Callithrix jacchus: one gene and its partners. The protein of the gene in region 1 binds, or shares a complex with, the protein of each later gene. Links are inferred from orthologs where the notes say so. Each region holds a gene or a part of one and is shown in the gene's direction. Other genes may lie near its edges. The genes, in order: SEH1L, NUP37, MIOS, NUP43 and WDR59.

Region 1 (6,279 bases):
CTGAGAGAGAAGGTCTGGTCAATTGACACTGACTGTGGTCTCTGTAGCTTGGTTCTGCACTTCTCCTTGGATGGTTATCCGTTGGGCAGAGATGGCTGTGATTTGTGTACCACCATTATGAGTGGTATCTCATACTTAGCATTCAAATTTATAGCTGTCTTAGTTTATTTACCCTCTAGCAGGTATTGTTTCCCAGAGTGCAGTCTGGCTAAGTTTTGGGCTTTGGTAGAACCAGCCAGACGTTCCTTTCTTCACTGTAGTTTGATTTCAAGGGCATTGCTGTCATTTTCTGCCTCTAGGCTTTAGTCAGGACCACCTTGCCATACTCCTTGGCAGGCTGCCTAACTTGATTTTCTTTGGTTCATTGTCTTCAGGGACCAATTTTGCATTCAAACTAATAAGGCCATTTTGGATAAGCCACTCAAGTTCCAAAAGTTTTGTTACATCCATTTCAGAAGACATTAGGTACCCATATACCTGCATAATTAAGAAGACAACTTAATTATCTTACATATATATATATGTGAAATTCATTATAATGAAGACTTTAATATTATAATGAAGGTTTTAATATGAACTTCATAATGTGATAATGTAGTACTTCAGAGAATTGTCTCTGCTAATATCTATAAGATGGCTGGTGAAAGCTTTATATTTTTAAAATTGGTGATACTTTGAAAACTTCTAAAAAATTGTTAAAACGGAGATAATATGTCTTTCATTTAAAAAGTGTCTTTAATGTTAATCCTGAAAGAAATGCCATAGCCCATAGCTTCTCTCGTTTCTGTAATTATAGTTTAAGGACATAGGTACAGATTTGTGCCCTTAGGCATTGGTATTAATCACATTAATGTATTTGATTATTTTCTTTTCAGCTAATTATATGGACAATTGGAAGTGTACTGGTATTTTGAAAGGTAATGGGAGCCCAGTCAATGGGAGTTCTCAGCAGGGAAACTCAAATCCTTCCCTAGGTTCAAATATTCCAAGTCTTCAGAATTCATTAAATGGATCTTCTGCTGGCAGGTAGGCTGTTTAATGGGAAAACTGGAAATTATCTTTGTTTTAAATCATTCTGGTAGCCATACTTAAGGAGGATTATTTTATGGATTATAAGATGGAGTGTAAATGTTCACATGTAAACTATATTAGCATTTAAGAATTCATTTTGTATTTGGCTTACTTGGTCAGAATATTTGCTGGTAGGTTATGAGGCTATTACATTATATTCTGAAGCTTTAGTGATGTATTGGTAGAAATGTTTATAGGTTTAAGATTCAACGCTGCTTCTGCAGCAGTGAGAGGAAGAGGTTATCTGGTTTAATAGTGAGGGTTTTAGTCCAAATGAACGTTAGTGTTTTTTAGTGCTTGTAGTGTGGTCTTTGTATCAGGTCAAACTGAAATTTTAAATAAATACATTAATTAAGGCTTTTTAGAAGAGAGTACATTAAATTATTTGGTTTTTGTGTTTAAAACTTATTGGAAATAAGAGGAAATAATAAAATCTGAGATTGATTTTTAAAATGTTAGCATATGTTAGATTCTTGTGTATCGTAATAAGGAATATCTGATGTCATCTAAAGAGTCATCCTTTTATTTTCATGTTCAAATTTTAAATATGTGAATTTGTAAGATAAAACTATTTTAATAGGCCTTTGTGAATAAATTTGGAATAGAAATCAGGAAGCTTCAAAACACAGCCTAATGGATATCCTAAATAAAAGAAGAAAATTGTATTTAAAATTTCAACTATTTTTATATTGTTATATTTTTATAAAGAATTCCTGCTTTTGATTTTTGAGGTTGTAAATATGAGCATCAAAATAATTTCAGGTTACTGTGGAAGATACCAGATTATAAAGATTATTTCATGAAACAAGTAATATTAGAGTTGATTTTTAAAGTCTGGTTTTTGGTCACTGCTTGTACTATGTATTTTCTTTTGTAAATAGCTTCGACGTTTTGATCTGTATTCTTAATTGTGCCAATAACCATCTGTGTTAGATCTGTGATGCATTTTCCCTTTCCATTTGTATTATGTCCTTTAACAGAAAGCACAGCTGAGTACAAGCTAACTGGAGTAACTTTGCTGTTTTGCTGCTTGTTGCATGCACACAGGAATGGAAAGCGAGCTCCTTTTCCCCTTCCCCAGCGCCATTTTGACCTCTCCCAAGATACACCAGCAGCCTGCTTACTACTAAACGCAACCCAAAAGGCCTTTAAAAATACGGTGTATATTTTTTTGTACTAGTCAGTTTGTTGACACTATTTGAAACTTTTGAAATATAAATGGAGAGGCTTTCTGTTGAGACATTGTCACCAAAACAATTTTTTGAAATGTTCCTCAAACTAACTTGGGTTTAAAGATTAAAAGGGTTGTTAACCTTCTTATGTAACTAGTTGAGAAGAGGGGAAATATCACTTTAATTTTTTGGGAAAATACAGACATATTTCTTTTGCTTTCTTAAAACAGCTTAAAATGAACTCTTCTAATTTTAATTTGAAGATTGAATAAATATTTTTCATAAAGATTGTTTTGAGTGCTGATTTGTTTACTTTTTGTAGAATTGCTTTATACATGATATTCAGTACAACTCTGTCATTTCTTTGTAATATTTAAAAAATATTAGTAAAGGAGTGAATTAGTAAAGTAGTAATAGTAAAAAGAAAGTAACTTAACTGTACAGTTTGTAGCCAGGTTAAGCATTTGGTGGTGTTTCATTTATAATTTGGTAGTAAGATGGAAACACCTTTTTGTTAAGTTTTTAATTGATATTCACTAAAGAGATAAATGTTGCTAATATACATTTATATGTTCTTATGGTGTTATTTATTTCATGGCTTAGTTTCCTTCACATCAAAATTTGGACACGTACTATAAGAGAAGCCATTAAAATTTTACTAAAATTGTGCATGTAAATGAATGTCAGCATTCCATGTCTCAAGATTTTCTTAATTTAGTTGGCTGTTTAAATTAGTTCATATCCTGTAAAGCTGTGACCTTGATAACAAAGCTATAAATATTTAAGTTTGCTAAAATGCATAAGTATTACTGGTAAGTTACAAGATGGAACAAGATTAACAATAGGGAACAGTCATTCTGTGAATCCTTTTACTTGTCAAAATTCGGTAGCTATTCTAAGGGTTTTGCAGAAAAATAAGTATGTTCAATATAATTCTTCAAAAGCATGTTGCAGTAGACAGCCATACTCTTTGTATTCCCAGTATCATGTATGCACTAAAAAAAGAGTGTGCTTGCTGCTGCTGTGAGTGAACCATTGCTTAAAATAAAAAGCTTATTAGATTTGTAAATGAACAGAATAGCATCAGATGTTTCTGAGAGATTAGAAAATGTTTTGAATTTATAAAATTAATGTTTTTCTTTGTAACGTTTATATTGATTTTTTTTGACATTTTAAGTTTAACAGATTGTATTTCTTTCAAGTTTTTATACTTGCTTAAGCAATCTTGGTTTGAGTAAGGGTCTTGATTTGTGCTTTTTTTTTTTTCCTAGCATGTTTTCTCCTCTTTGGTTCTCTTTGTATTTACTACTTTTCTCTTTTTCTTGTTTTTTTTTTTTTTTTTCCTGTTGTTTTTGTTTTGTTTGGTGTTTGTTCCTGTCTTAATTGTTTCAGGTATTTCTTTCCCCCTCTGGATTCCCCACGGGCTGGATCGAGATGGTCCAGTTCTATCCAGCTCCTTCCTCCTCCTCCTCTTCCTCCTCTGGTAGAGCACTCTTGCGATGCTGACACTGCCAACCTCCAGTATCCTCACCCTCGCAGACGATATCTCTCTCGGCCTCTTAATCCCTTACCTGAGAATGAAGGGGTTTAAAACACTGACTTAACATTGAAAGGCCTTATTCAAGTGCTTGTAAATGCTTTCATTTCTGGCTGCTATTTTTCTTCATTTTCTTTCAGAAGATTTTTCTAACTTAGGGTCTGTCTTGCATGTATTACTACCAGAATACAGTGTTCAGAACCTAAATCTGTTTGTGCGTCTGCAGCAACGGAACATTTGCTTCTCTGGGTGATAACCTTTGATGAAATGAGGTATGTCCAAATAATGTTATCTGTGAAATTATACACAGAAGCAGACTTCAAAGTGCCTGTTCTGTAATTTTATTTTGAACTGTTACCATAGTCTTAAGTTGCTTATGCTTTATCAGACTGGCTAATGTGAAAGCATATTATTGTGAAGTTTATTCTGCCTTTGAGACCTTAAGAAATGGATTTAATTTTATAGGCTAATGTTGCAACTGACGAGTATGTAAAATAAAATAAAGCATTCCTGTGTATAAAGCTGCAAAACCTAATGTGGACTTTTTGGTCTTTTTTTTTTTTTTTTTTAAAGGAAATTGCCTTTCACTGCTTAGAATTACTGTTTAAAGCTTTTGTAATTATCCGGGTAGGTTATATAATAAAATATATTTTTAAATACATGAATCTCTTGCCTTATAAAAATAGGATATATTTTATTTAAGATAGTTGCTAAGGCTTACTCTTCTTTCATAATCTCACAAAAAACCCAAACAAATAAAAATTAGGAGATGTGAGCAAATATTACATTTATTTAAAAGGTAGAAAGTAGGTAGACTAACATATAGAATGGACAGATGTTGACTTTCAATCTAGTCAACGTTAGAAAAGATTTTTTTCTAAAATATTTTAAAATTAGAATATACTTGACAGTAATTGGGGCAAAATGGTTAAAACTAGTAATAGGCATTTTGGTTCAGTTTTCTGAGGAATTATCAAGGGTTTAACCTATCAGGGCTAGAGAGAGACAGGTGTTTTGAACAGTATTTCATGTGTCTTATCAGGTAATCACAAAGGTAACACAATTGTTGTATGTATTCTAATTTTCTTTTTCTTTGAGATGGAGTTTCGCTCTTGTTACCCAGGCTGGAGTGCAATGGCGCAATCTTGGCTCACCGCAACATCCGCCTCCTGGGTTCAGGCAATTCTCCTGCCTCAGCCTCCTGAGTAGCTGGGATTATAGGCACGCGCCACCATGCCCAGCTAATTTTTTGTATCTTTAGTAGAGATGGGGTTTCACCATTTTGACCAGGATGGTCTCGATCTCTGGACCTCGTGATCCACCCGCCTCGGCCTCCCAAAGTGCTGGGATTACAGGCTTGAGCCACTGCGCCTGGCCAAGTATTCTAATTTTCAAAGACGCCTTTCCTTGAATAGTGTCATATCCCTAGAACTTCTTAATATGCAAAGGATTAAGAGATGATAGAAATATTCTATTCATTTTATAAGACAGGGTCTCACTCTGTAGCTGAGGTTGGAGTGTAGTGGCATGATCATGACTCACTGCAGCCTTGAACTCCCAGGCTCAAGTGCTCCTTTCACCTCAGTCTCCTGAGTAGCTGGGACTACAGGTGCACACCACCATGCCCTGACTAATATTTTTATTTTTTGTAGCAAGGGGTCTCACTTTTTCCCCAGGCTAGTCTCAAACTCTAGGCTTACTCCATCATCCCCCTTCTCCGCCTCCCAAAGTGCTGGGATTACAGGCGTGAGCCACCTCACCTAGCCTACTCATTTTAGTTTAAGGAACATTTGAGTTTTATTGTCTAGTCATCAAAATGTTTTGTCTCTAAGGTTAGCATTTCAATGTGAATGACTTTTTAAAATAATTCTCAAAGGTCTTTCTTTTCTTAAACAAGGCAAGGATCAAACAAGGTCTTAATTAAGAAGCCGTGTCTTTGAGCTTTCAATCATAGAGGTATCTGGGGTTAGAATGGAATAATGAAATTTAGACCATTCTCCAATTTAGTGAATCTTGAGCATCTAGGATGTGCAAGATACTGTGCTAAACACTTGGGTATGTTAAAAAAAAAAAAAAAAGATAGTCTGCACACAGACTTGCACTTGTTGGAGAAGGCATTTCTAGAATTTACAAAAGGTAATGGGTTCAGCTTTGTAATAATGGTAGAAACTGTATAGTAGGCATAAAAGAGACAAGTTATTTAAGCTGGCAGAATTTGGAAGGGGTGCCTGATTTCAATAGGTTACAAAAAAGGCCAGGTGTGTTTAGGGAACAGAATATAAGTAACAGTCTGATGAAAGAGTAGGTTACATTTAGGGAGCTAGTGGGACATTAATCTGAAATCATACCTTGTGGTTACATTGTAGAAGGTTTTAAGTATTGGCAGCTGAGGCATACCACTTTAAACAGTTGGTAAAAGGGGAACTGAGAGATGTCTGAACTTAAAACTAGATAGGCCTTACTTCTTATTCCCTGGGAGGCATCCTGCATGGGCCTCTG
Region 2 (6,164 bases), on another chromosome or scaffold:
CCTGCTGTATTTTTTTTCCTGATATTTTAAATCTTGTACACTTTATAAAAAAAGAAAAACCTGTGGTTAATACACAAGATTCCTTGGACAAATTTGTCATGAAAATTTTGCTTTAGTCTCTAGACCCAGTTCAGATATTGATTTAAATAACAATGATGATTTACTTATTTTTAAAATTACAAAAATTTTTATGATTTTTTTTTCTTTTTTACCTTTCCTATTGTGCTGGGCAGTATTTTAATGCATAGAAAATATACATTATTCATAAAGGCATAAAGAATAATAAGATGGTTCCCTATATAACTGCTACCTAGTTTAAGAAATGGAACATTAGCAATTCTTTTGAGGCCCCCTCAGTATCCTTCCCTTACTCATGGTAGGTATTTTGCATGGCAGGGTTTTCTGTTTGTCTTTTTTTTTCCCTGCTTCCCCCTTAAGGGCCCTGGATCTATACTGAGATCTGTCATCTGGCATCCTTCCTTGTGCAGGCACTAGGATTTGTCTCCTCTCTCTTGCAAACTGAAACTTTAAATCATTGCATGTGGGCAGATGCCCTTATAACAGCTGCATTCCTTGGTACTCATTTGCTTGTTTGTATTTGGATTTTTGCAATGTTGTAATGGAAGAGCTTTTCATGTTTTTGTCCCCATTTACAGCGCTAGATGCCTTGACTTTTAAAGTTGATTTTTTTTTTACCTTCCCGTGAGAATAAACTGAAATCATTTTTGTAGAGCTGAACTAGATAAATAAGCCAAGTTTATTAAGCATTTATTCCCAGAATAAAATATCTAAAACTAAATTAACCAGATTATTTCTTACATATTCACTATTCATAGACTATAATAGTCCAGATGAATTATTTGTAGCATCTTACACACGTATAATGCCAGAAGTAATACTACATGGAAATCATTGACACTGATTATAAAGACTTAGAGGCATCATAAGGTCCCAAAGTATTTTCCATTTAATCAGAATGTTCAGTATATATTTTTAATATTGTCAGTAGATAATCCAGTTCTGGTAATTTATTTACTAGAATATTTTGATTCTTTAGAGCATTCCATTTTCTTTGTTTTCTTTTTTTATAATGTAGAGACATGGTCTCACTATGTTGCCCAGGCTGGTCTCAAGCTCCTGAGCTTAAGCAGTCCTTCCACCTCAGTCCCCCAAAATATTGAGATTATAGATGTGAGTCACCACACCCCAACAAGCAATCCATTTTCATTGAATTTATTATGAAATGCCTCATAAGATAAAGTAGGACATGTTTATCATTTATTTCTAATTGCCTTAGAGAGTTATTTTGTGAGGCTAAGGTAAGTTTGGATTTTTTTAATTCAGTGAACTAATTCTCAAAATTTTTCAAAAGCATACACATAGCCTCCTGATAAATTCATTTTAATGAAATAATACTGTTTGTTTTCATAACTTACTAAAATCTTTACTGTGCTTAGGAAGAAGAAGCAGACGTTCAAGGCATTCAGTATAAAACACTTCGAACATTTCACCATGGAGTCAGGGTTGACGGTATAGCTTGGAGCCCAGAGACTAGACTTGATTCATTGCCTCCAATAATCAAGTAAGTTTAACAGCACCAAATGCATTCTTTACTAATGTATTTTGATTGTGTTACATGATCTGAAGTCTGATTATAGATACTTTTTTCTCCATTTCCATTTTCCACAACCCAAGATACTAGGTATTTTTATATTTGCTATTACTTAATAATTTAGGCTTATCATCTGAATTTGTGATTTAAATATACAGCCATGACTATGATAACTTGACCATGTGTTTGAGCCAAACTACACAGCTTTTTACATGGGCTTCATCTGAATCAAGGTTTTTACAGAGTCTTCACTAATTCACAACTTTATTGAAACTACAACTCTTTTAATAAAAGACATTAATGAGCAGTTGAGACATTAATGAGCCTTCCTTACCCCACATAGACTAAGATCACATTTTCATGTCTCACAATATGTAAATCTGTAATTCTGGGCTTTGGACTTCAGTTTTTGTGAAAGTGTTTAAAAAGAATGATGGTTTTCCGAGAAAAAAGTCCTGGCAATGCCTGCTGAAGTCTTCTTTACAGGGGCAAGAATATGTTACATTATTTAAGATTTGTTACAAAACACTAGCCTTGTCTCCACAAATGTCAAATCTAAAAGATGTGTCTTCTTTTAGTAAGAGATACTTAGCAACTAAAAGTTATCAACTATTATGCTGATAGTTGATCCTTTAATTTTTTTAATTAAAGAATAATTTAGATACTCTGAAATTCTCAGTATTAACGGTACAATTTGATCAGTATTGACAAATGCATACGTTTGTATAACCCACACTCTATTCATGCACAGTGTTTTTGTCCCCCAAGAAAGTTACTTCATATTCCCTTCCAGTTAATCACTGTACCCCATTCCCTACAGAAGCAACTGTTGATCTGGATTCTATTACCAGAAATCAGTTTTGCCTATTCTAGAACTTCATATGAGTGGAATCATACAGAATTTTTTTTGTGTCTGGCTCAGTGTTTTTGAATTTTTTCCACATTGTTATGTATACCAGTGCATTTTAAGTAGTACTCCATTGCAGTGTATCAATAGATGATAGTCTGTTTATTCATTCTTCTATCAATGGGTACCAATACGGTTTCCAGTGTTTAGTTATTATTTTTTGCTGAATACTGCTTTTAGTGGTTATATGGTTTAATTTATCTTAGGAGTAGAATTGTTGAGTCACAGGGTAGATGTATGTTTAACATTTTAAGAAAGTCCCAGTTTCTAAAGTGGTTCTGCCATTTCATATGTTCACCAGTCATCTACGGGTGGTCTCCCTACTCTCCAACACTCATTGATTCATTTTGAGACAAGTTCTAGCTCTATCACCCAAGCTACAGTACAGTGACACCATCTCCACTCACTGCAATCTCTACCTCCCAGGCTCAAGCCATCTTCCCACCTCAGCCTCCTGAGTAGCTGGGACTATAGGCATACATCACCATGCCTGGCTAATTTTTGGATTTTTTTGTAGAGACAGGGATTTGCCATGTTGCCCAGGCTGGTCTCAAACTCCTGAGCTCAGGCAATCCATCTCCCTCGGCCTCCCAAAGTTCTGGGATGATAGGCGTGAGCCACCATACCTGGCCTATACCCCAACATTTATTATTGTCTATCTTTTTATTTTCTTTTTCTTTTTCTTTTCTTTTCTTTCTTTTTTTTTTTTTTTTTTTTTTTTCTGATACAGAATCACACTCTATTACTCAGGCTGCCATCCAGACCCATGATTATGACTCACTGCAGCCTCAACCTCCCTTGTCTCAGCCTCAACCCTGCCTCTCACCTCAGCCTCCCAAGTAGCTGGAACTACAGGCATGCGCTGCCACTCCCAGCTAATTTTTGTATTTTTTGCAGTGATGGGGTTTCACTGTGTTACCCAGTCTGGTCTCGAGCACCTGGGCTTGAGCAGTTCACGCATCTTCTTGACCTCCCAAAGTGTTAGGATTACAGGTGTGAGCCACTGTGGTTAGCGTTTCTTTTTAGTTTTAGCCATTCTGGTTGATGCTGCAATGACATTTCCATGATGACTAATGATGTTGATGCTTTTTTGGTGTATTTGTTTCTTCTATTAGAAATCTTTGTGTGATTTTTTTTTTCAGGTTGCATGTTTTTTCCTAAAGCCTTTACCAATATTTAGTTAACTTAATTTTGAATAATCTAACAATAGCTTTTGTCAGCATATGTAATAATATCATTACCAAAGCTGGTGTGCTGTTCATTTCCTTTTATGTTAAAAGAAACTGGTCACAATATCCAGACCCAAATAAGAGCAAAGTCTCTTTGATTCTTTAAATTTTGAAAGCTGTGGAAACAGTCGTCTTCCCTTGGTTTTGAGTTAAGTTTTGTGATACATTCTTTAACCTGGATATTCAACTCTTGTGTTCTGTGCTCTCCTTGTTGCTTAATACTTGTTTATCTATCCTCTTTTTAGTGAATTCGCTGTGTTTGATCATTTCTGGTGGGTGTTTTTGTTTAGTTTGTTTTTCTTAGTTTTCGGTAAACTGTCTCAAGTCCTTTTTGGAATTATACAAATAACAATAACAAATTTAAAAGACATTAGCAAGACATTAATTTTAGACTATTTTTAGAGCAAGCTGACAGCACAATCTTGTTTTCAAATAAATTATTATTATAAAAATGATAAATGCTTAATAGATAAAATTTAGAAAACAGAAAATAAAAAGGATAAGAATGCCATTTATGCTCCCAATACTCTTTCCATTTTTTATACATAGTTGTACATAATTGTGATTATACTTAGTAACTCTCTATACTTTTTTTAACTTTACTTTTTTAGTAATATTCTAAAATAGTAGTCCATCACCATGACTAAGGTATAACTCAGCATCTCTCTTACCATCGTTAGTTTTTATCTTACATTTAGAAACCCTTCATGATGGCTTATGATTAGCATGTAGTTGCCTTAAATTCTCTTTCTCTCTGCCTTTCTGCTCTTTCTGTCCTTACTTGCTTTTCTTGCACAGTGGCTAGAGGATTCATTATTTATCTTATTTCAGCTCTCTGAGGTTTTCTGGTTCAATTAAAGGACCTAAATATCCCTACAACAGCAAGGATTCAAAGAAAAGTGGGGCAACACAAGGCTGGCTATAAAGTTTTGTGGGTTGGTTTGTTTGGTTTTATTTAAATCCTATTAAGAGTATTAATTATCCAAAAGAGAGCCCGCATAGCCAAGTCAATTCTAAGCAAAAAGAACACAGCAGGGGGCATCACACTACCGGATTTCAAACTATACTACAAGGCTACAGTAATCAAAACAGCATGGTACTGGTACCAAAACAGAGATATAGACCAATGGAACAAAACAGAGGCACCAGAGGCAACACAACATATCTACAACTATACAATCTTTGATAAACCTGACAAAAACAAGCAATGGGGAAAGGATTCCCTGTTTAACAAATGGTGTTGGGAAAACTGGCTAGCCATGTGCAGAAAGCAGAAACTGGACCCCTTCCTGACACCTTACACTAAAATTAACTCCAGATGGATTAAAGACTTAAACATAACACCTGGCATGATAAAAACCCTAGAAGGAAATCTAGGCAAAACTACCAGGACGTAGGAGTAGGCAAGGACTTCATGAACAAAACACCAAAAGCATTGGCAACAAAAGCCAAAATAGACAAATGGGACCTAATGAAACTCTACAGCTTCTGCACGACAAAAGAAACAGTCACTAGAGTGAATCGGCAACCAACAGAATGGGAAAAAATTTTTGCAGTCTACCCATCTGACAAAGGGCTGATATCCAGAATTTACAAAGAACGCAAATAGATTTACAGGAAAAAAACAAGCCCATTCAAAAGTGGGCAAAGGATATGAACAGATACTTTACGAAAGAAGACATATATGAGGCCAACAATCATATGAAAAAATGCTCATCGTCACTGGTCATCAGAGAGATGCAAATCAAAACCACATTGAGATACCATCTCACGCTAGTCAGAATGGCGATCATTAAAAAATCTGGAGACAACAGATGCTGGAGAGGATGTGGAGGAAAAGGAACACTTTTACGCTGTTGGTGGGAGTGTAAATTAGTTCAACCATTGTGGAAGACAGTGTGGCGATTCCACAAGGCCTTAGAAATAGAAATTGCATTTGACCCAGCAATCCCATTACTGGGTATATATCCAAAGGACTATAAATCATTCTACTATAAGGACGCATGTACACGAATGTTCATTGCAGCACTGTTTACAATAGCAAAGACCTGGAATCAACCCAAATGCCCATTGATAATAGACTGGATTGGAAAAATGTGGCACATATACACCATGGAATATTATGCAGCAATCAGAAATGATGAGTTCGTGTCATTTGTAGGGACATGGATGAATCTGGAGAACATCATCCTCAGCAAACTGACACAAGAACAGAAAACGAAACACCGCATATTCTCACTCATAGGTGGGTGATGAAAAATGAGAACACATGGACACAGAAAGGGGAGTACTAAACACTGGGGTCTATTGGGGGGAAAGGGAGGGCCAGTGGGAGGGGGAGGTGGGGAGGGATAGCCTGGGGAGAAATGCCAAATATGGGTGAAGGGGAGAAAGGAAGCAATACACACTGCCATGT
Region 3 (6,843 bases), on another chromosome or scaffold:
CAAACGAGTCCTAGTTCCAAAATAAAAGTATCTAATAGAAATCAAGTGCTGGCTAATGGCTTGAGTATCTAAACCTCCCTGGTGCTTTGCCTGCAGTCAGAGATTACATCCATCCATTATGCTTTGTGATTCAAATAGCTGGAATTTCTGTAAGTTTATTTAACTGAGGCTTGATATTTTTATACTCAATTGTGCTTTGAAGATTAGAACTCAAAACAGTTCTAACATCATTATAAACATTATAAATATTATTTATTAAAAAATTTTATTTGGTACCTAGTGTTCCAAGTGCTAGAAATGTTACAGTAAACAAAACAAAAATCCCTGCCCTTACAGAACTTAATTTTTGGACAATGACACATTTTTTAAAAGTTAGATTATATACTGGTTTCCTTCATTTTCTTCTCAGATTATGAGTTAATACACAAGTGAAACTAGTTTCCCCTAAAGTGTTCTGTGGTACTTGTCTTCATAATTCACTATGGATCTTTTAAAATTTAAAGTCATTTGACCTTAAAAAAGCCTTTATACTTGGCAGTGAGGTAGATCTTAATACTTCCAGCTTTATCAGAAAAATATAAGGATACACTTGTTTGGATTCAGTCTGTTTTCTGTTTATGTTAGAAGTTACAAAAACAAAATGACAAGCGCTAACAAGAGCTTTACACAAAGGTATCAAGTAGTGTCCATATCAGATCTGTATTTTATTTTTCTCTTCCCCCTTTCCATTTTGCCCTCTCATTATTAACCTTTGGTGACCCTTTCAGGAATAAATTTAGTGTATTTACATCTTAAATCATTGAACTACTTATACATCCTTTCACCCCATATTATTAGCAAAAACAGATATTTTTTAAAACTATTCCTGACTGTAGGATTATCCTTTTGATCCCGAAAGTGTGACCTGCAATGATCCAAGCAAAATTTTGAACATAGTCATCTATGCATAATGCCTTAATAGATGGCAATTAAGTAAAAATATTAAGTCTAATTAAGCAATTGCTTAAGTTACTCAAGTCTCATGAAGTGCATTGGGAAACTTTTCCTCTTTTTTCCTTCTTTGAAAGGGCTTGTACAGATGAGAATTACCTGCCCCTTGATTGTCTTTCTTCTTTTTTTGAGACAGTCTTGCTCTGTCACCCAACCTGGAGTGCAGCAGCACTCTCTCGGCTCACTGCAGCCTCCAACTCCTAGGTTTAGGCAATTTTTGTGCCTCAGCCTCCCAAGAAACTGGGACTACAGGCATGTGTCACCACCCCTGGCTAATTTTTGTATTTTTAGCAGAGATGGGGTTTTGCCATATTGGCCAGGCTGGTCTCCAACTCCTAGCCTCAAGTAGTCTGCCCACCTTAGCCTCCCAAAGTGCTGGGATTACAGGCATGAGCTACCATGCCCAGTTTTACCTGTGCCTTGAATGTTAGGTAAAATTCACTTGTAAACTGGGCCTAGTATTTTCCTGTGGAAAGATTTTAACTACTGATTTGGTCTCCCCCAAAGTGTTAAATTTATATTGTTTCTCAGTGGGTTTCAATAATTTAAATTTTTCCATTTTTGTATTGGCTATTAAAAATGTAGGGAAGCTCCTGTCATTCAGTTTCACTCCATCTAAACTAGAACCTAGCATCAAAATTGTTATTTCAATATGATGTGTGATTCATATTTTGAACATAGTTTTAGAAATGCCTTTTGAAAGTAACTTTAAATAAAATATCGTGATGCAGTTAATGAAGATAATTTTCTTGTCTCATAGGAGGAACCAAATCAGATGAAAAAGTGGACTTAAGTAAGGACAAAAAACTAGCCCAGTTTAACAACTGGTTTACATGGTGTCACAATTGCAGGCATGGTGGGCATGCTGGACATATGCTTAGTTGGTTCAGGTAATCAGCACATTTCTTCTTTGATAGGCTTGGATTTACAAGAGATAACACAGATTGCTTCTAAATAGTTTGGGTTTATCTGTTAACATTTAGCCAAAGTATGAATTTTGTTTTTACAGTCACTTGCATTAACAAAGGTGGTATGAACATTTATTTCATTGTTAGATATCCTATGTAACCTTAAACTATAAAGGTAATACTTATATAAGAACTAGTTCAAATATTTTGCATGAGTTAAATGTTTGAATAACATTATTTCACTTTATTCGGGGAGAGGATGTGTTTAAAGTTTTTTACAACTGAATATGTTGTAATTTATCATGTGATTGAATTAATAATGAAATTATAAAAGTGCATATCATATTGCTGCCTCAGTTCTCTTCTCAGTAAGCTTTTTATGTAGTCATGCAATTGAAACTCTCAAGACCATAATTGAATTTTATTTTGAATGGTGCCAGTGGCCCTGTGCTCCTCATTGATATAGCATTTATACCCAGTTTGTCTCACTAGCTAATTTAAACTCTGAGCACATCCCTGTCACCTTCACAACTGTAAATGAAATATCTTGCCATATATGTAGAAAATAAAAGGTATGTATTTTTTTTTAACTTCTCCCTAAAGTTCAGCTTGGCAGTCATTTATAATTTGATGCTTTTTTCCTCTGGGTTTTAGTTTCTATATTTTTACAAATGCCATTTTGAAAAGTTGCATTATAGATAGATCTAAGTAAACAGGTGGGAACAGTGTACACCCCTATAGTCACAGCTAATCAGTAGGTTGAGGCAGGAGCATTGCTTGAGCCCAGGAGTGTGAGTCCAGCTGTGTGAGTCCAGCCTGGGCAATATAGCAAGATGCTGTCTCTTTAAAAAAAAATTTTTTTAGATAAATAAATGTGTATATGTTTAATTTGGATTTTTAACTGTTATTTGATGTATTTTTTTAGGGACCACACAGAGTGCCCTGTGTCTGCATGCACGTGTAAATGTATGCAGTTGGATACAACAGGGAATCTGGTACCTGCAGAGACTATCCAGCCATAAAATGTTATCACCTTAAGAGAAACCTTCAAGTGTGGAGCTTTGTAATAGGTGTCCTTCATAGCTCAGAAACATACCTCAGAACAAGTCATTCATGACTTCCCTGTAATGGGAAAATAAATCATTCTCTCAGATCAGCAATTTGATGTGTGAGTGATTTTGATGTGCTTCACAGAGACAAATGCTGCTGAAATAAACTTCAGAGTATAGACGTGAATTCTGTTCAGTAGCTTGAAAAGTCTACTTTAGAAAAACTTTGTAAGTTTTTGTTGAAATTATGAACATTCTACAAGAATTTCTGGAATAGCCAAGAACAAACCTTGAGCCTGATCTTCAAAGCTGAAGTTGGATATCTTTCAATAAAATCCGTGCACTTTTAAAATAAAATGACTAATTCAGTGATTCAGACAATAATCTTAAGTTAAGCTGTGCTTAGATTTCTTTCAGATAAATTTAAAATTATAGATTTTTACTTTTAGAATTAGAGAGTCCCTATCCCATACTGGAGAATACTTTTTATTAATATATGTTATATATATATGTATGCATGTGTGTGTGTATGTGTAAATATATATATTTTTTCAAAGGAGACTTTTCTTTCATATGTTTTTATTTTAAGATAAGCAATCTTTTGGCATACACATTGTCTTCCTAGAAAAGCCAAGATGAAGAATCTATCTTACAACTTTTTCTCTTCAGAAGAGAAAAACATGTACCATTTCAGGTGAACATATAAAATTTTCACTTTCTACCTTTTGCTTTCCAGTGTCTTAATTTGTCTTCAAAGGTTTTTCTCCATATTAATTTGTCATCTTACCCTCATCATCTGAGAATATTTTACTGAATACAAAGTCTATGCAAGATTATATGTAACTAACCATTTAGCATAATCTATGTCAGTGTTTCTGTACTGTCAGATTTCCTCCTGACTAGGAATAACATTCTTTGTTCTTTCCAAGGTAGACTAGGAGATGTTGGGGAAATACAGTCACTTCAGAGTCCACGTTAGATGTAAGTTTTTAAATGTACATGTTACTGGAGGGACTTTATTTAAAATTTACTTTTTCCGATTTCATAGCTATAGAAAGTTGTAAGAGAAATACCAAGGGTTTACAGGATGCTTCTCTGTCATCTGCCATATGCAGAGGGACTGAACTAGGAAGCTTGTAGTTGAAGCTCTGTTCATAAAGAGTAAATCTAATTTTATTTTTTAGATTTTGGAGAAATAAACTGAAGAATTTTAAGAGCTTTCATATTAGCAGTTTTGCCTTATAAAAACTAAGATCTATCAGATTAGTTTGAGGTATAACCTAAATATTAAAAGTAGATTAAATTTTTTACCTTGAGTATCTGATACATAAAACCCTTTTCTAGGAAAACATTGGAAGTAATGTATATCTACTCTAAATGTCTCATCTACATGACAGTCTTTTCAAATGAAAGAAATGGGAAATGCAAATTTTTTTAAAGATGGCTATTAAGGGTACTTTTTCCAGGCTTTCAGTAAATTTTAATTGATTTCATTTTATTAACACATATCCTCTACCTTTAATATTTCCTTTGAAGTGTTCCTTTCAAATTTATTGTGTCCTAAATATGAAAGTCAGCTTTAAGTAATGTCGAACTCTTACATAGTAAATTTTATTTCTCATTAGCTAAAGTTAAATATAAAATTATTGAATTTAGCTGAAATAGTTACAAGTTTTGGAAATACAGTATAAAACATGAATGTAAAGTCTATTATGTAATATGCTTATTTGTAATCCTGATATATAAGGGTGACATTTTTAAGATTGTGTGTGTCAACCTCGTATTGTTTTCTGTGAAGCCCAAACATGCAGTTTATGTCTCTGGTGTGCATTTTGCATTTCAGTGTGTGTGGACAATGAAGGTAGATTCAAATTATTTTCTCATTTTTGTCGCAAAGTCACTGGTATTTGGGTTTATAAACTCAACAAGGTATTTTACCTAAACATGATCAATAGAAGTGTTTAATAAAAGTATTTTTATTATTTTGAAAAGATTCAATAAATCTGGGTTGAAATCATTGTATCTAATAAAGAAATTATGATTCCTTTACAAATAATCCACATGAAGTTATATTATATTGGTACTTATTTGGATGACAGACTTTATACTTAAAGTAACATTCCTTTTAGGCTCTGTTTTTCAGTTTAACCCACTTTCCAGAATGGTTATCATCCTTTACAAAGGTATATTTTAAAAATAGCTTCCCATTATCAGTGCTTCACACAGTATTTAAAAGAATGTAGTTCTGCATTTAATTGGATGACTGAATTTCAGTCATTCATTTGACTGCGAATAGTAAAGGAATGGTCTTTGAAACTCATAATCCTAGCCTCAGGATCTTTGGTAAGTGACTTGACCTTTTTGAGCTTCAGTTTCTTTATATGTTAAAAGAAAGATGCAGAAATACCTACCTTATAAAGTGTGGGGACATTAGGTGATGCAATAAACATGACTTACCATATCCTTGTCACACAGTGCTCTATAAATGGCAGTGATTAGCAGTCATTGCTACCTTAATTTTCATAGGTTACTCCTGTAGCAGTACTTTTTCAGTGAATACAGTATACTTTTAACAAAGAACCTACATTTGTCTCAAAAATGAAAATTTCCCGTAATAGTAATGCTGCAAATATAGGGTAAACAAAAGTAGCTAAATCCTATCTCAAAAGAAAAATGCCATTATTTGGATAAATTTGGAGTATTACTATTTTGCTGTATGCAAAAATACTCCAAATGACCTCTTAGGAGTTAAATGTGGTATAAAAATGAACCGAGAAGAAAAAGTTATGGCAAATTTAACAATTGATTATTGAAAACTTGGAGTTTTTATATCTGTTCTCAACTCTAAACTAGGTTTAAATTTAACTCCCTAATCTGGATACTTGGAGACAGTATCCAGGATTATTCCGTGTACTTCTTCCTTTTCTGGCATTCTGTTAGACTTGCTGTTCATTTCAGTTAAAATGGTGGGGTGGTAGTGATAATCAAAAGTATACTGTGAGACTTGCTCTCCCAGAATGGCCATAATTAAAGCTAGTGGGCACACATTTCTAACATCTGCTTAAATAGGCATCAGAGAGATAGGAGAGGCATATCTGGTGTTAGGTCAGCATCTTGTATCAAGTCTAGTGACCCACATCACAATGACAGAAACAGCTTACTAGATAGCACCTCCCTTATCCTCTACTCACTCCCATCCTTTTCCAGTTTTCTCTCCTACCTGAAAATGTTGTAGGTTACTTTGCTGATTATAACAAGCAGCACTTTACAAATATACTAATTTTTATAAAATACTACTTTTCCCAGAGTACTGAAGGAAAGCTTCCCAACATTTTTAAAAGCTAACAACCCAGATATCAACACAAATTTAATGATAAAATCACAAGTAAAGTTGGTATCAAATGCATTAGTATAGTAAGGAGAATTATAATTACTGTTAATGCCTGTTTGCCAAATACATTATCCTGTTTTCACAATAAACCTATGAGGCGGGTATACCATTTTTGTCTCCATTCTGTAAATGAGGCAACTCAGGCATAGACATCAGGTCACTTGTCCTAGGTTACATGAGTAGCAAATATAGCCAAGACTTAAGATTCTAGTAGTCTTGGCTTCCTAATCTGTACTTTTAATTTATATTTTCTGCTTCTGTGCACTACTTTGTAGGTTGCATAAGTAAGAGACTAATTCACTATGACAAAGAAGAGTGCCTTCCAAGAATTAAGTACTGAGTAACATTTACTTATATTTACTGTGAATACACCCAAAGAGAACCATGTCAGTAGCTCTTTGGATGTACAAAGCACTTGATAAAATTCAAAAATTGATCTCTAATTTGTTTTTTAGGTTAGTTTTTGTCATGCAAAGGAAATGTTTTCTCTCCATTTTATCCCCTC
Region 4 (5,279 bases), on another chromosome or scaffold:
TGCACAGAGCCTGACACATAGTAGGTACTCAGTCATTTGCTGAGTGAATTAAATTTGTACTTATTTGGTATGACAGCAAGTTGAAAGGAAAGTTATAAGTAATGCCTAAAATGGAAGTATACTGCTTCTGCCTGCGTCACTTTTACTCTTTATTAAGTGCAATGCTGTGTTAGAGATAAAAGCTTATAATCTAGTAGTGTTACTCACTTTTAAGAACATTTATCTAAAAAGCATAAAAAAAGATCCGAGGTAAGGCAATTATATTTTTAGAAACGTAGTAACAAATATATATTTAGAAATATATATTTTTTTTTTTTTGAGATGGGGTTTCTCCATGTTGGCCAGGCTGGTCTCGAACTCCTGACCTCAGGCAATCCACTCGCCTTGGCCTCCCAAAGTGCTGGGATTACAGGTGTGAGCCACCATGCCTGGCCTAGAAATATAAATCTAGAAATATTCAACTAGAAATGTGTCTAGAAATTCTTTCTCATGATCATTTATTACCCAAGAGTTTATATTTCCGTATATTACCTACATTTTTGGTTTCTTTTTTTTTTTCTTTCTTTATTCAACTTGTCTGCTGGCCATTTTGCTACCTTTCTGAGACTTTCCAATAAAAGATTAACAGAAAGACAGAGTCAGTTGAAATTATCTGCTTTGCCTGAAGACTTCATGTTTGGTATCCATATTATCTCATGGAAATTTGAATATTTAATATCACTGAATAAGCCTTTGGTCAAAAATGGTTTTGTATAATAATGGAATTATTAACCTGTTATTCTGAGAATTAAACATATTGAGATTATCACCTGTCTAAATTCAGTAGAAGTTTGCATGTTTACTAATATAAAAACCACCTTAAATTTTTTTTCTTTTCTTGTTTTCTTTCAGGAGGAAGAACCAGTACATTTTTGTCTCATAGCATTAGTAACCAAGCTAATGTTCACCAATCTGTCATTAGTTCCTGGCTCAGCACGGATCCTGCAAAAGACCGAATTGAAATCACAAGCTTACTTCCCAGTAGGACTCTGTCTGTGAACAGTTTGGATGTTTTAGGTCCTTGTCTTGTTTGTGGAACCGATGCAGAAGCAATTTATGTTACTAGACATCTTTTTTCGTAGAAGTACTGTAATTTTAAGATTTCAGGTAGAACACACAATTAGCCTTTTGAAATCCAACATCTGTGCAAACTTTTATTATCAGAAAATATGAGATTTGCAGGGGAAACATCAATAAACTGCCATTAATGTCAATGCCCAGTTTTGGCTTTTGTTAGCCTGACACTCCCACAACAGTTGTAGAATCCGTTGGATGACAGAGGGCAAAAGATTGTGAACATGTGCAAGAAAATCAGTGGGATCCTGGTGCTGATGAATAGGTTGCCTTCAGAGTATTATTGACAGCTCATGGGACTAGTTCTTTGTTTTAGATGTGGCAATTAACACAACATCAGTGGTGGTTATGGGAACCACCAATGGGTTCCTACAATGTTTATCAGTAGTATGTGGAGTATACGCCTCCTAGTGGCAATTGTCAATGTTAACAATTATTCTTTTTATTGCAAGTATTTCCTATGATCCTTCCACACTTTATTTCCTTAATAATTATAGTAAATGTTTTCAGAAAGAATTGAGTAGAGCAAAAATAACAAAGATGTATAGCCATGTTCGAATTTTTTTTTGAGACAGATTTTTTTTTGAGACAGTCTTACTCTGTTGCCAGGCTGGAATGCAGTGGTGCGATCTTGGCTCACTGCAGCCTCCACCTCCCGGGTTCAAGCAATTCTCCTGCCTCAGCCTGCTGAGTAGCTGGAACTACAGGGGTGCGCCACCACACCTAGCTAATTTTTGTGTTTTTTAGTAGACATGGGGTTTCACCATGTCAGCCAGGATGGTCTCCATGTCTCGACCTCATGATCTGCTTGCCTCAACCTCCCAAAGTGCTGGGATTACAGGTGTGAGCCACTGTACCTATCCTGAAATTTTTTAAAGATGAAAATGTTTTGACAAGTTCCTTTTTCAGAATAGGTTTTTGAGCAGAAGTCTTTCAACTCCTTAGACCCAACTTTATTTCTGTTGAAAAGGGAACAAACACAACATTTTTCCTAAGGAATTTAGCTTTTGTTTAGCTTCACGGCATAGTTGAAAATTGCCAAACTGGACATCGTGTGATAAAGTAGAATTTCATATTGATAAGCAAATTGACTTCCAAACTAAAATTCAATGCTTAACAAGTGTGATTAATCAAATGATAATATAATCAGAGTGAAGAATTGTGCCATTTTTTTCTTTTTTTTTTTAACCTTTGTCCCCACCCCCCACCCCCCACCAGAATTTTGCCATTTTAATCCTTTTGTTTTAGCCACCTATAGTCTTATCAGCCATCTTTATTCTTGTCTGCAGAGATAATAATGACCTAATGTAGTGTTTTAAGATACTTTAATGATACTATCTTTCCAAAATTTGTTAGATATTAAATGTGTTATTGACCTGAGACCTTAATGATAAATCAGTACTATTAGACAATTGAAGTGTTTATTTACTTTATAATTCCAATAATCATAATTATGGAATTATGATAAGGTTTTGCTTTTCTGTCCTAATAAATATTTTCTTTTTCTTTTTTTGAGACAGAGTTTCGCTCTTATTGCTGGAGTGATGATCTCAGCTCACTGCGACCTCTGTCTCCCAGGTTCAAACAATTCTCCTGCCTCAGCCTCTCCAGTAGCTGGGATTACAGGTGTGCGCCACCAGACCTGGCTAATTTTTAATTAGTAGTAGAGAAGGGGTTTCACCATGTTGGCCAGGGCTGGTCTGGAACTCCTGACCATAGGTTATCAGCCCACCTCAGCCTCCGAAAGTGCTGGGATTATAGGTGTGAGCCACCACACCCTGCCTATTTTCAATTTTTTTAATGCCACTTTATCTCAGGGGGTTTTGGGTTTCTGATCTGTCTATAGTATTATTGCTGGGACTAATTTTTTAAAGACTTTTTGTTACTAAATAACTTACAGAAAAGAAAGTTTTAAGTACTTAGAATTTCAAACAGACAATACTCTTCATATCCGTTTCTATCCATCAATGTATATAATTTCTTAATAAAATGAAATATACATATATATATTATCTTTGTGGATGCATGTTCCCTAGCAGTAAACACATTTTTTCTATTATCATTTTGAACTGCTAGTTAATATTCTAAGCTGTAGGAGTGTGTACCATAATTTATTTCAATTGGTTGCCTATTATTGATTATTTCATGTTTCCAGCCTTTCACCGTTATGATTCCCACTATAATACCGGTTTGGTTTAATTTGCATTTCTTTTAAAACTTGCTTTTATTCTTAGCTTATATCCTCTTCATTTTTTGAGGTAGTTTGGCATTTTCTTATTTGTAACATCTTTTTATATGTGGTTTTTTTTTGTTTGTTTTTTTGCCTTTGGTTGTATGATACAGGTATTTTTTTAATTTAGTTTTTAGCTTTACTTATGGGGCTTTTTTTTAATCTTTATTCTGTTAATTTTTTTTTTTTTTTTTCCTTGAGATAGAGTCTCACTCCCATCGCCCAGGCTGGAGTGCAGTGGCATGATCATGGTTCGCTGCAGCCTGACCTTCTGGGCTCAGATGATCCTCCCATCTTAACATCCTGAATAGCTGGGACTAGAGGTGTGTACCACCATGCCTAATTTCTGTACTTTTAGTAGAGATGGGGTTTCATAATTGCCCAGGCTACTTAGGGTGCTTTTCATAGAATTTGCATTTCGTGTGTGGTCAAATCAGTTGGTTTCTTAGTTTTTTATTTTTGTTTTTTGAGACAGAGTTTTGCCCTGTCACCCAGGCTGACGTGCAATGGCATGATCTTAGCTCACTGCAACTTCCACCTCCCTGGTTCAAGCAATTCTCCTGCCTCGGCCTCCCAAGTAGCCGGGATTACAGGCATGTGCCACCGTGCTCAACTAATTATATATATATATATATATATATATATATATTTTTTTTTTTTTTTTGAGACGGAGTTTCGCTCTTGTTACCCAGGCTGGAGTGTAATGGCATGATCTCGGCTCACCGCAACCTCTGCCTCCTGGGTTCAAGCAATTCTCCTGCCTCAGCTTCCCGAGTAGCTGGGACTACAGGTACGCACCACCATGCCCTGCTAATTTTTTTGTATTTTTAGTAGAGACAGGGTTTCACCATGTTGACCAGTATGGTCTCGATCTCTTGACCTTGTGATCCACCCGCCTTGGCCTCCCAAAATGCTGGGATTATAGGCGTGAGCCACCGCGCCTGGCCCAATTTTTTATATTTTTAGTATAGATGGGGTTTCACTGTGTTGGCTAGCCTGGTCTCAAACTCCTGACCTTAGGTGATCCACCCACCTTGGCCTCCCAAAATGCTAGGATTCCAGAGGTGAGCCACCACACCTGGCCAAATCATTTGATTTCTTTCTTAATACTTTTTGTCCCCTGGCATCATGTTATCCTGTCCTAGAGTTATGTAAATGTTAATCTGTAATTCATTTTATTTTGTGGTTTTTATATTTTGCATGTAATGATTGCATTTGGAATTTAATGATTTAATGCATCTGAAGTTTTCTTCTTTTCACACAAGTAGATATTATGTGCTTCCTGATGTCATACAAAAGGAGTAAATAACACCACATAGGAAATTTCCTGCCCAAAAGGAACTACTTGTTTTTCATTTTGTAGCATTCCAGGAGTAAGTAAAAACATACACTTGTTCAGCTCAGGGTAGGTTTTTTCCTAGCACTGAAAAGTAGACCAGGCCGGGCTCGGTGGCTCACGCCTGTAATCACAGCACTTTGGGAGGCTGAGGCAGGCAGATTACGAGGTCGAGATCGAGACCATCCTGGCCAACATGGTGAAACCCCGTCTCTACTAAAAATACAAAAATTAGCTGGGCGTGGTGGTGCATGCCTGTAGTCCCAGCTACTCAGAAGGCTGAGGCAGGAGAATTGCTTGAACCCAGGAGTCAGAGATTGCAGTGAGCCAAGATTGTGCCACTGTACTCCAGCCTGGCGCCTGGCAACGGAGCAAGACTCTGTCTCAAAAAAAAAGAAAAGTAGACCAGATAATTCAGATAATTGCCATTACCCTAAATATCAGTTCAAGGACTTATCAGCCTAACTGTACTTCCCCAGTTCCTAGCAACAAAACTGAACCTGATTTACCTGTCTGCCAGTTTACAGACACTACAGGAAACAAAAGAACATGTTAAATGACAACATGGGATGCAACTGTTGAGAAATTCTATAAGACAAG
Region 5 (6,164 bases), on another chromosome or scaffold:
ACAATTATGAGCTGAACCATTGTAAGTTGGGAACCATCTTCATCTTACTCCCTGCTCAGCAGAACATTGCTCCAGTTTACTTTCACTGCCATGTCTTCGCCATCATGTTTTTTTTTTGAGACGTGGTCTCGCTTTATCACTCAGGCTAGAGTGCAGTGGCATGAATATGGCTCACTGCAGCCTCGACTTCCTGGGCTCAAGTAGCGCTTCCACCTCAGCCCCCTGAGTCGCTGGGACTACCCGAGTGTGCCACCATGCTGGGCTGATTTTTTGTACTTTTTTGTAGAGATGGGTTTTGCCATGTTGCCCAGGCTGGTAGTCATCTGTTTTTATTGGACCACTTCATGATTTGATTTTCACTGTGGGGAAGGATTTCTTAAAGAGTTAGGAAGAGACTTAGGATGTTGCGGCCAGGGGAAAAGGATGCCTCCTGGGGGCGGGCGGTAATCCTTTTTCTCAGGTGTTGCTGACAGATGAAAATATAGATTAAGAGAAATGCATTTAACTGACCAAATAGGAAGCCATATGATCATTAAGAAAGGAGTTTCAGGCCTGGTGTGGTGGCTCATGGCTGTAATCCCAGCACTGTGGGAGGCCGAGGCAGGTTGATTATGTGAGGCAGGAGTTTGAGACCAGCCTGGCCAACATGGTGAAACTCCATCTCTACACACACACACACACACACACACACACACACGTAAAATTAGCCGGGTGTGGTGGTGCGTGCCTGTAATGTCAGCCACTCAGGAGGCTGAGGCAGGATTATTGCCCGAACCAGGAGGTGGAGCTTGTTGCAGTGAGCTGAGACCCTGTCACTGCACTCCACTCCAGCCTGGGTGACAAAGACCCTGTCTCAGAATTTAAAAAAAGGAGTTCGAAAAGTGAGTTGAGGAGAGAAGCCAGGTCATTAGGTGGCATAAACAGGGGCAGCAGGAACCAGTTTAGTGAATTAAGTTACCCTCAAAGTCAAGACACAGAATTAGCCAGTTGGCAGAGGCTGCTGCCCTCTCTGTTGGAAGGCAGGGAGAAGACACTGGGAGTTGGGGAAGCAAAGGGCCCCTTGGGACCAGCAGGGGAGGCACAGGTTGAGGGGTTGAGTTAATTTATAATATTTAGAAAGGAATTAGGCATACCTTTTTCTTAAAGTCAGGGGCATGAAAAGAGGCCAGATGTAGGGTCAGAAGATTGTTGATGTGAACGTGGGGCATGATGGTGCCACATGTGACAAGCTATGGTTTAGGATAGTTGCTCTCTGGCTAGCTGTACCTAGTGATATATGAAGTATTGAGGAGTGAATTTTTGGTTGGAGTTGGTGATGCAGAGATATAACCGATAAGGAAGAGAACTGGCCCTCATTTTTTGCCCTCTCACTCTGTGACCTTGGACAGATCATATTATCTTGCCTCGGTTTCCCCATCCATAAAATTAAGAAGTTGGATGAAATTATTTCTGAATTCTTCGCTTTCTGAAGGTGGCCATGAAGGAGATTCTAGATACTACATAATTGCCCCCAAATGTTCTGACTTTCATGAAGTTATTTCATAAAGCACCCTGAACCTTCTCAGGATAATTTCCCTTTGGCCAGAATTAAAATGAAAATGTGATTCAGTCAATTAAGAATATTAAGGATTGATGATTTATTTTACAAAGAGATGCATCACTTTACCAAAAAATTCTTTGGAATGGTAAGATGCTATGATGCATTTGAAACAATCCATTTTGCAAAAATGTGTTCATCTTCAGCTCCTCAAGAGCATGTAAAAGGAAGAACATTTGCAGAGGTGAAAGTTTAGTGTGACATTAAATCCCAGCATTGCTCTTTACCTGCTAATTTGCCAGTTATTATTTCACTTAATTTAAGTTTCTGCTCAAATGTGACTTCCTTGGGGAGTTCTAGCTAAAAATAGTTCCACTGTCAGTCTCTGTCCTCTTATCTTGTGTTATTTTTATATCAGTTATCCTTACCAGATGTTTTATATTTGTTTGTCTGTTTTTACCATTGGAACGCAAGATCTGTAAAGATAGACACTAATTTATCCATGCTGTAGTCCTGGTACCTAGAATAGTGCCTGGCATATCAGAGATGTTGTTGAATGGATGGATGAATCTCACTCCATTTCAACCTATAGCAAAGTGGATATTGAATCCAGAAGAATTTCCAGGATTCTTATTTGGTGATTTCTAGGGTCCAAGGACTATCAACTGGTGACGTGGTCCCGGGATCAGACCTTGAGAATGTGGCGGGTGGATTCCCAGATGCAGAGGGTATGTATTCAGTGCTATTGTGGAGAAATGTACCTGGATCCACCAAGAAGTGTAAGATTCAGGATTTGTGGAAATTAGAGATTACAGGATAAACTTTTTTTTTTTTTGAGGCTGAGTTTCACTCAATCTCCCAGGCTGGAGTGCAGTGGTGAGATCTCGGCTCACTGCAACCTCCACCTCCTAGATTCAAGCGATTCTTGTGCCTCAGCCTCCCAAGAAGCTGGGATTACAGGCCTGCCCACCACCATACTTGGCTAATTTTTGTATTTCTAGTAGAAACAGGGTTTCATCATGTTGGCCAGGCCAGTCTCGAACTCCTGATCTCCAGTGATCCGCCTGCCTTGGCCTCCTAAAGTGCTGATATCACTGATGTGAGCCACTGTGCCTGGCAAGATAGACATTTAATACATACTTACTGGTTGGCTGAGTGGCTGGTGTGTGCCACACCAAGGCTTTGAGGTCTTTAAGAACCAACCTTAGTATTCAGCTCTTTAAGGCAGGGTCTAAATGTCTTTTTCCCCCTTATTCTAATACAAAATAGTATGAGTAGCTTCCTGAGCCTGTGGCTTGTGGGGTTCATTTCTTTCTTTTCTAAATGTGCTAAGAAATCTACCCTTGCCGGTTGTAGTGGCTCACGCCTTTAATCCCAGAGGCCGAGGTGGTCGGATCACAAGGTCAGGAGTTGAAGACCAGCCTGACCAACATGGTGAAACCCTGTCTCTACTAAAAATAAAAAAAAATTAGTTGGGCATGGTGGCATACCCCTGTAATCCCAGCTACTCAGGAGGCTGAGGCAGGAGAATCACTTGAAGCCAGGAAGCAGAGGTTGCAGTGAGCTGAGATCTCGCCATTGCACTCTAGCCTGGGTGACAGAGTGAGACTCCATCTCAAAAAAGAAAAAAAAAAAAGCCTACCCTTGCACTCTGCAAATGCTTAGAGGCCTCTACATCCGTCAACAGCACCACTTCTATGAAGCTGTTTATAATTTTTTCCCAATAAATGATATCTGTTTCTTACATGAACCACAGTAGGGCCTGCCTGATCTGAGCTGCTTTTATGACCCTTGCTCTGCTCTGCCTTATCACAGGGCTCTGTCTGCTCCCCATCTGATGGCTACATTTCTTGACAGTGGGAAGGTATCTCACTTGTATTGCAGCTCCCACAGCACTTGGGACACTGCGTTGCACAGAATGAATAGAAAATACTGGATAAAAATGCCAACACTGCTTAGTGTGAAGTCACTCTTGAGTATTTTGGTCAAATCTCATTACCTTATTGCATTTTCAATCTGTTTTCTCTGAAAGGTACAATTTGCACCAAATGCCTTGAGATTATGATTTTCTTTTTTTTTTTGAGATGGACTCTTTCTCTGTTGCCCAGGCTGGAGTGCAGCCACATGATCTTGGCTTACTGCAACCTCTGCCTCCTGGCTTCAAGTGATTCTCCTGCCACAGCCTCCTGAGTAGGTGGGATTACAGGCGTCTGCCACCATGCCTGGCTAATTTGTGTATTTTTAGTAGAGATAGGGTTTCACCATGTTGGTCAGGCTGGTCTCAAACTCCTGACCTAAGGTGATCTGCACTCCTCAGCCTCCCAAAGTGCCTGGATTATAGGCATGAGCCACCATGCCCGGCCGGTTATGATATTTTTGCTCCTGGATTAGCTGAATAACTCCATCAAGGCTTGGAGTTAAAAGTAATTTTTTTTTTTTTTTTCCTGAGGCTTGCATAAACTCTGAACATGATGAAAAATTTCCAGGGCTGAATAATAGGGTCTATTATCCTGGGTGTTTAAGCAGGGAGAGCTGGTGATGGGTAAAATCTATTTTGATTATGTCAGCTCTTGGCTGACACATCTCCATCCTTTGTCATTCCCATTTTTAACTCTTTAATCAGACATGATGATCTTTTCCACTGACTTCTCTAGAAATACATCTTCCCCACTTTGTTGCAGCTTTGTGCAAATGACATATTAGATGGTGTCGATGAGTTCATTGAGAGCATTTCTCTTCTGCCGGAACCCGAGAAGACCCTGCACGCTGAAGATATAGATCACCAGCACAATGCAAGCCACGGGGAGGAAGAAGGTAATTTGTGAAACTGGCTTCTCAGGTGAGGTGCCACGTTATGCATTGCAGAGATGTGGCAGATACCCCAGACCTGTTCCCTGATTCATTTTCAAAAATGCTTTCCAACATTGAACTTCTCTCTCCTGCTAGCCCTAAAGGAAGATCCCCCTAGCAATCTCCTGGAAGAGAGGAAATCAGATCAATTGGGACTGCCTCAGACCTTGCAGCAGGAATTCTCCCTGATCAATGTGCAAATCCGGAATGTCAATGTGGAGGTACTTAGTTTAATCAACAGTGTCTCATGTTTGCAGATGGCGGTTTGGGGAGGGAACCATTTCAGCAACGATTTCAGTTAGCAAACAGCTTTGCAGCTTTAACAGAACTCTCTCTGCTTGCTTTTTTATTTCCTGAGTTTTCTGGCCAGGTGTGATGGCTCACACCTGAAATCCCAGCACTTTGGGAGGTCCAGGTGGGTGGATCACTTGAAGCCAGGAAGCCAGGAGTTCGAGACCACCCTGGCCAACATGGTGAAACCCCCATCTCTGCTAAAAACACACACACACACACACACACACAGAATTAGCCAGGTGTGGTGGTGGGTGTGGTTCCAATTGCTCAGGAGGCTGAGGCACAGGAATCACTTGAACCTGAGAAGCAGAGGTTGCACTGAGCCAAGATCACACCACTGCCCTCTAGCTTAGGTGACAGCAAGACTCTGTCTCAAAAAAAAAAAAAGAAAAGAAAAAGGAATGCAGACTTTCTTCTTAATCCTTTTCTTTTCTCCTAAGATCAGCCAAAGGAGAACCTGGTGCTCATGTGTCTTAGCTCCTCCTTAGATGCTTCAACATCGCATTTTACTATAAAGGAAGACACTAAAACCTGGGAGGCTTAGTGTTTTGGCAGGAGTTGCTGCTGAGGTTATGGGCAGAGTTGACTTGGGCAGCCAGCCCTCCAGCCCCTCCAGGGTGCTGTGCTGTGCCGTGCCGTGCCGTGTTCCCTCACAGGCTGTGGGATTTAGATTCATAGTAAGAAGGCAACCAAAACCTCTTTATACACTTAGCCTGTGGAACATTTACTCTTCCTTTGGGGCAAGTACCGAAACTCTTTGCTTCAGAAAATTGAATATCTCTCCAGGAAGGAGTTTTAAAGCTTGATTAGTTTTTCCTTCACCCAAATATAGTGAATAGCAGGAAGGGGTATGTGCTGTTACATAACTATCTCATGGGGCCTTTAAAACAAGTCTGCTGTGAGTGCTTTTAGCCTCACTTTACAGCTGAGAAAACTGAGACATCAAGAGAAGAAATGACTTGTCTGAGGTCAGCAGCTATTTGGTGGAAGAAATAAAGTGTGCATCCAAGTCTCCAGGTTTCCCACGTGTGTGGTTCTTTTCACTTTACTCCAGCTGCTGTCTTTAGATGGCAACACAAATCAAAAGATAGAAAGCATTCTTTGCTGAATTAGTGATCTATATCAAGTCAGTTTATGCTCCCTTTGTCCTGTTTGAGGACAGTGTGGATACCTAGTGATCTAGTTTAAGATCTCGAGTCTTTTTTTTCCCTTTTTTGAGATGGAGTTTCACTCTTGTTGCCCAGTTTAGAGTGCAATGGCAGGATCTTGGCTCACTGTAACCTCTGCCTCCTGGGTTCAAGCAGTTCTCCTGCCTCAGCCTCCTGAGTAGCTGGGACTACAGGCATGCACCACCATGCCTGGCTAATTTTGTAGCTTTAGTAGAGATGGGGTTTCTCCATGTTGGTCAGTCAGCCTGGTCTTGAACTCCCAACCTCAGGTGATCCGCCCACCTTGACTTCCAAAGTGCTGGGATTATAGGTGT

Evidence for each region.
Region 2: SEH1L (region 1) and NUP37 share a complex: the UniProt entries of both Homo sapiens proteins name them as parts of the nup107-160 subcomplex of the nuclear pore complex. The link is inferred for Callithrix jacchus from reciprocal best matches to the Homo sapiens genes SEH1L and NUP37.
Region 3: the proteins of SEH1L (region 1) and MIOS are in contact, whole or in part, in a cryo-EM structure (PDB 7UHY), measured with the Homo sapiens proteins. The link is inferred for Callithrix jacchus from reciprocal best matches to the Homo sapiens genes SEH1L and MIOS. Residues at the interface, in NP_112493.2 of Homo sapiens: Met1, Phe2, Val3, Ala4, Arg5, Ser6, Ile7, Ala9, His11, Lys12, Asp13, Leu14, Ile15, His16, Asp17, Val18, Phe20, Phe22, His23, Gly24, Arg25, Met27, Trp47, Ser173, Ser174, Ser175, Asn230, Leu231, Gly232, Arg233; in NP_001357005.1 of Homo sapiens: Arg279, Arg316, Ser317, Phe353, Glu354, Arg355, Ile356, Ser357, Leu358, Ala359, Trp360, Pro362, Leu366, Met367, Trp368, Ala369, Cys370, Gly371, Arg372, Leu374, Tyr375, Glu376, Cys377, Thr378, Glu379, Glu380, Glu387, Asp389, Ile390, Ala391.
Region 4: SEH1L (region 1) and NUP43 share a complex: the UniProt entries of both Homo sapiens proteins name them as parts of the nup107-160 subcomplex of the nuclear pore complex. The link is inferred for Callithrix jacchus from reciprocal best matches to the Homo sapiens genes SEH1L and NUP43.
Region 5: the proteins of SEH1L (region 1) and WDR59 are in contact, whole or in part, in a cryo-EM structure (PDB 7UHY), measured with the Homo sapiens proteins. The link is inferred for Callithrix jacchus from reciprocal best matches to the Homo sapiens genes SEH1L and WDR59. Residues at the interface, in NP_112493.2 of Homo sapiens: Asn308, Tyr309, Met310, Asn312, Lys314; in NP_085058.3 of Homo sapiens: Pro713, Asp714, Glu716, Thr717, Pro718, Arg721, Arg837, Glu840, Gln843, His844, Asn847.

What each region holds. Positions count from the first base shown.
Region 1 is NC_133514.1:49,488,753-49,495,031, reverse strand, and holds the end of SEH1L (nucleoporin SEH1), read left to right. Parts: intron 1-875; coding exon 876-1,026; intron 1,027-2,051; coding exon of another isoform or gene 2,052-2,064; exon of another isoform or gene 2,065-3,635; coding exon 3,636-3,834; 3' UTR 3,835-4,310; downstream 4,311-6,279. UniProt on the Homo sapiens protein: Component of the Nup107-160 subcomplex of the nuclear pore complex (NPC). The Nup107-160 subcomplex is required for the assembly of a functional NPC.
Region 2 is NC_133510.1:105,153,983-105,160,146, reverse strand, and holds part of NUP37 (nucleoporin Nup37), read left to right. Parts: intron 1-1,457; coding exon 1,458-1,582; intron 1,583-6,164. UniProt on the Homo sapiens protein: Component of the Nup107-160 subcomplex of the nuclear pore complex (NPC). The Nup107-160 subcomplex is required for the assembly of a functional NPC.
Region 3 is NC_133512.1:51,174,707-51,181,549, reverse strand, and holds the end of MIOS (GATOR2 complex protein MIOS), read left to right. Parts: intron 1-1,750; coding exon 1,751-1,880; intron 1,881-2,823; coding exon 2,824-2,920; 3' UTR 2,921-5,000; downstream 5,001-6,843. UniProt on the Homo sapiens protein: As a component of the GATOR2 complex, functions as an activator of the amino acid-sensing branch of the mTORC1 signaling pathway. The GATOR2 complex indirectly activates mTORC1 through the inhibition of the GATOR1 subcomplex.
Region 4 is NC_133505.1:156,503,346-156,508,624, reverse strand, and holds the end of NUP43 (nucleoporin Nup43), read left to right. Parts: intron 1-891; coding exon 892-1,121; 3' UTR 1,122-3,120; downstream 3,121-5,279. UniProt on the Homo sapiens protein: Component of the Nup107-160 subcomplex of the nuclear pore complex (NPC). The Nup107-160 subcomplex is required for the assembly of a functional NPC.
Region 5 is NC_133521.1:32,273,974-32,280,137, reverse strand, and holds part of WDR59 (GATOR2 complex protein WDR59), read left to right. Parts: intron 1-2,185; coding exon 2,186-2,265; intron 2,266-4,218; coding exon 4,219-4,351; intron 4,352-4,483; coding exon 4,484-4,608; intron 4,609-6,164. UniProt on the Homo sapiens protein: As a component of the GATOR2 complex, functions as an activator of the amino acid-sensing branch of the mTORC1 signaling pathway. The GATOR2 complex indirectly activates mTORC1 through the inhibition of the GATOR1 subcomplex.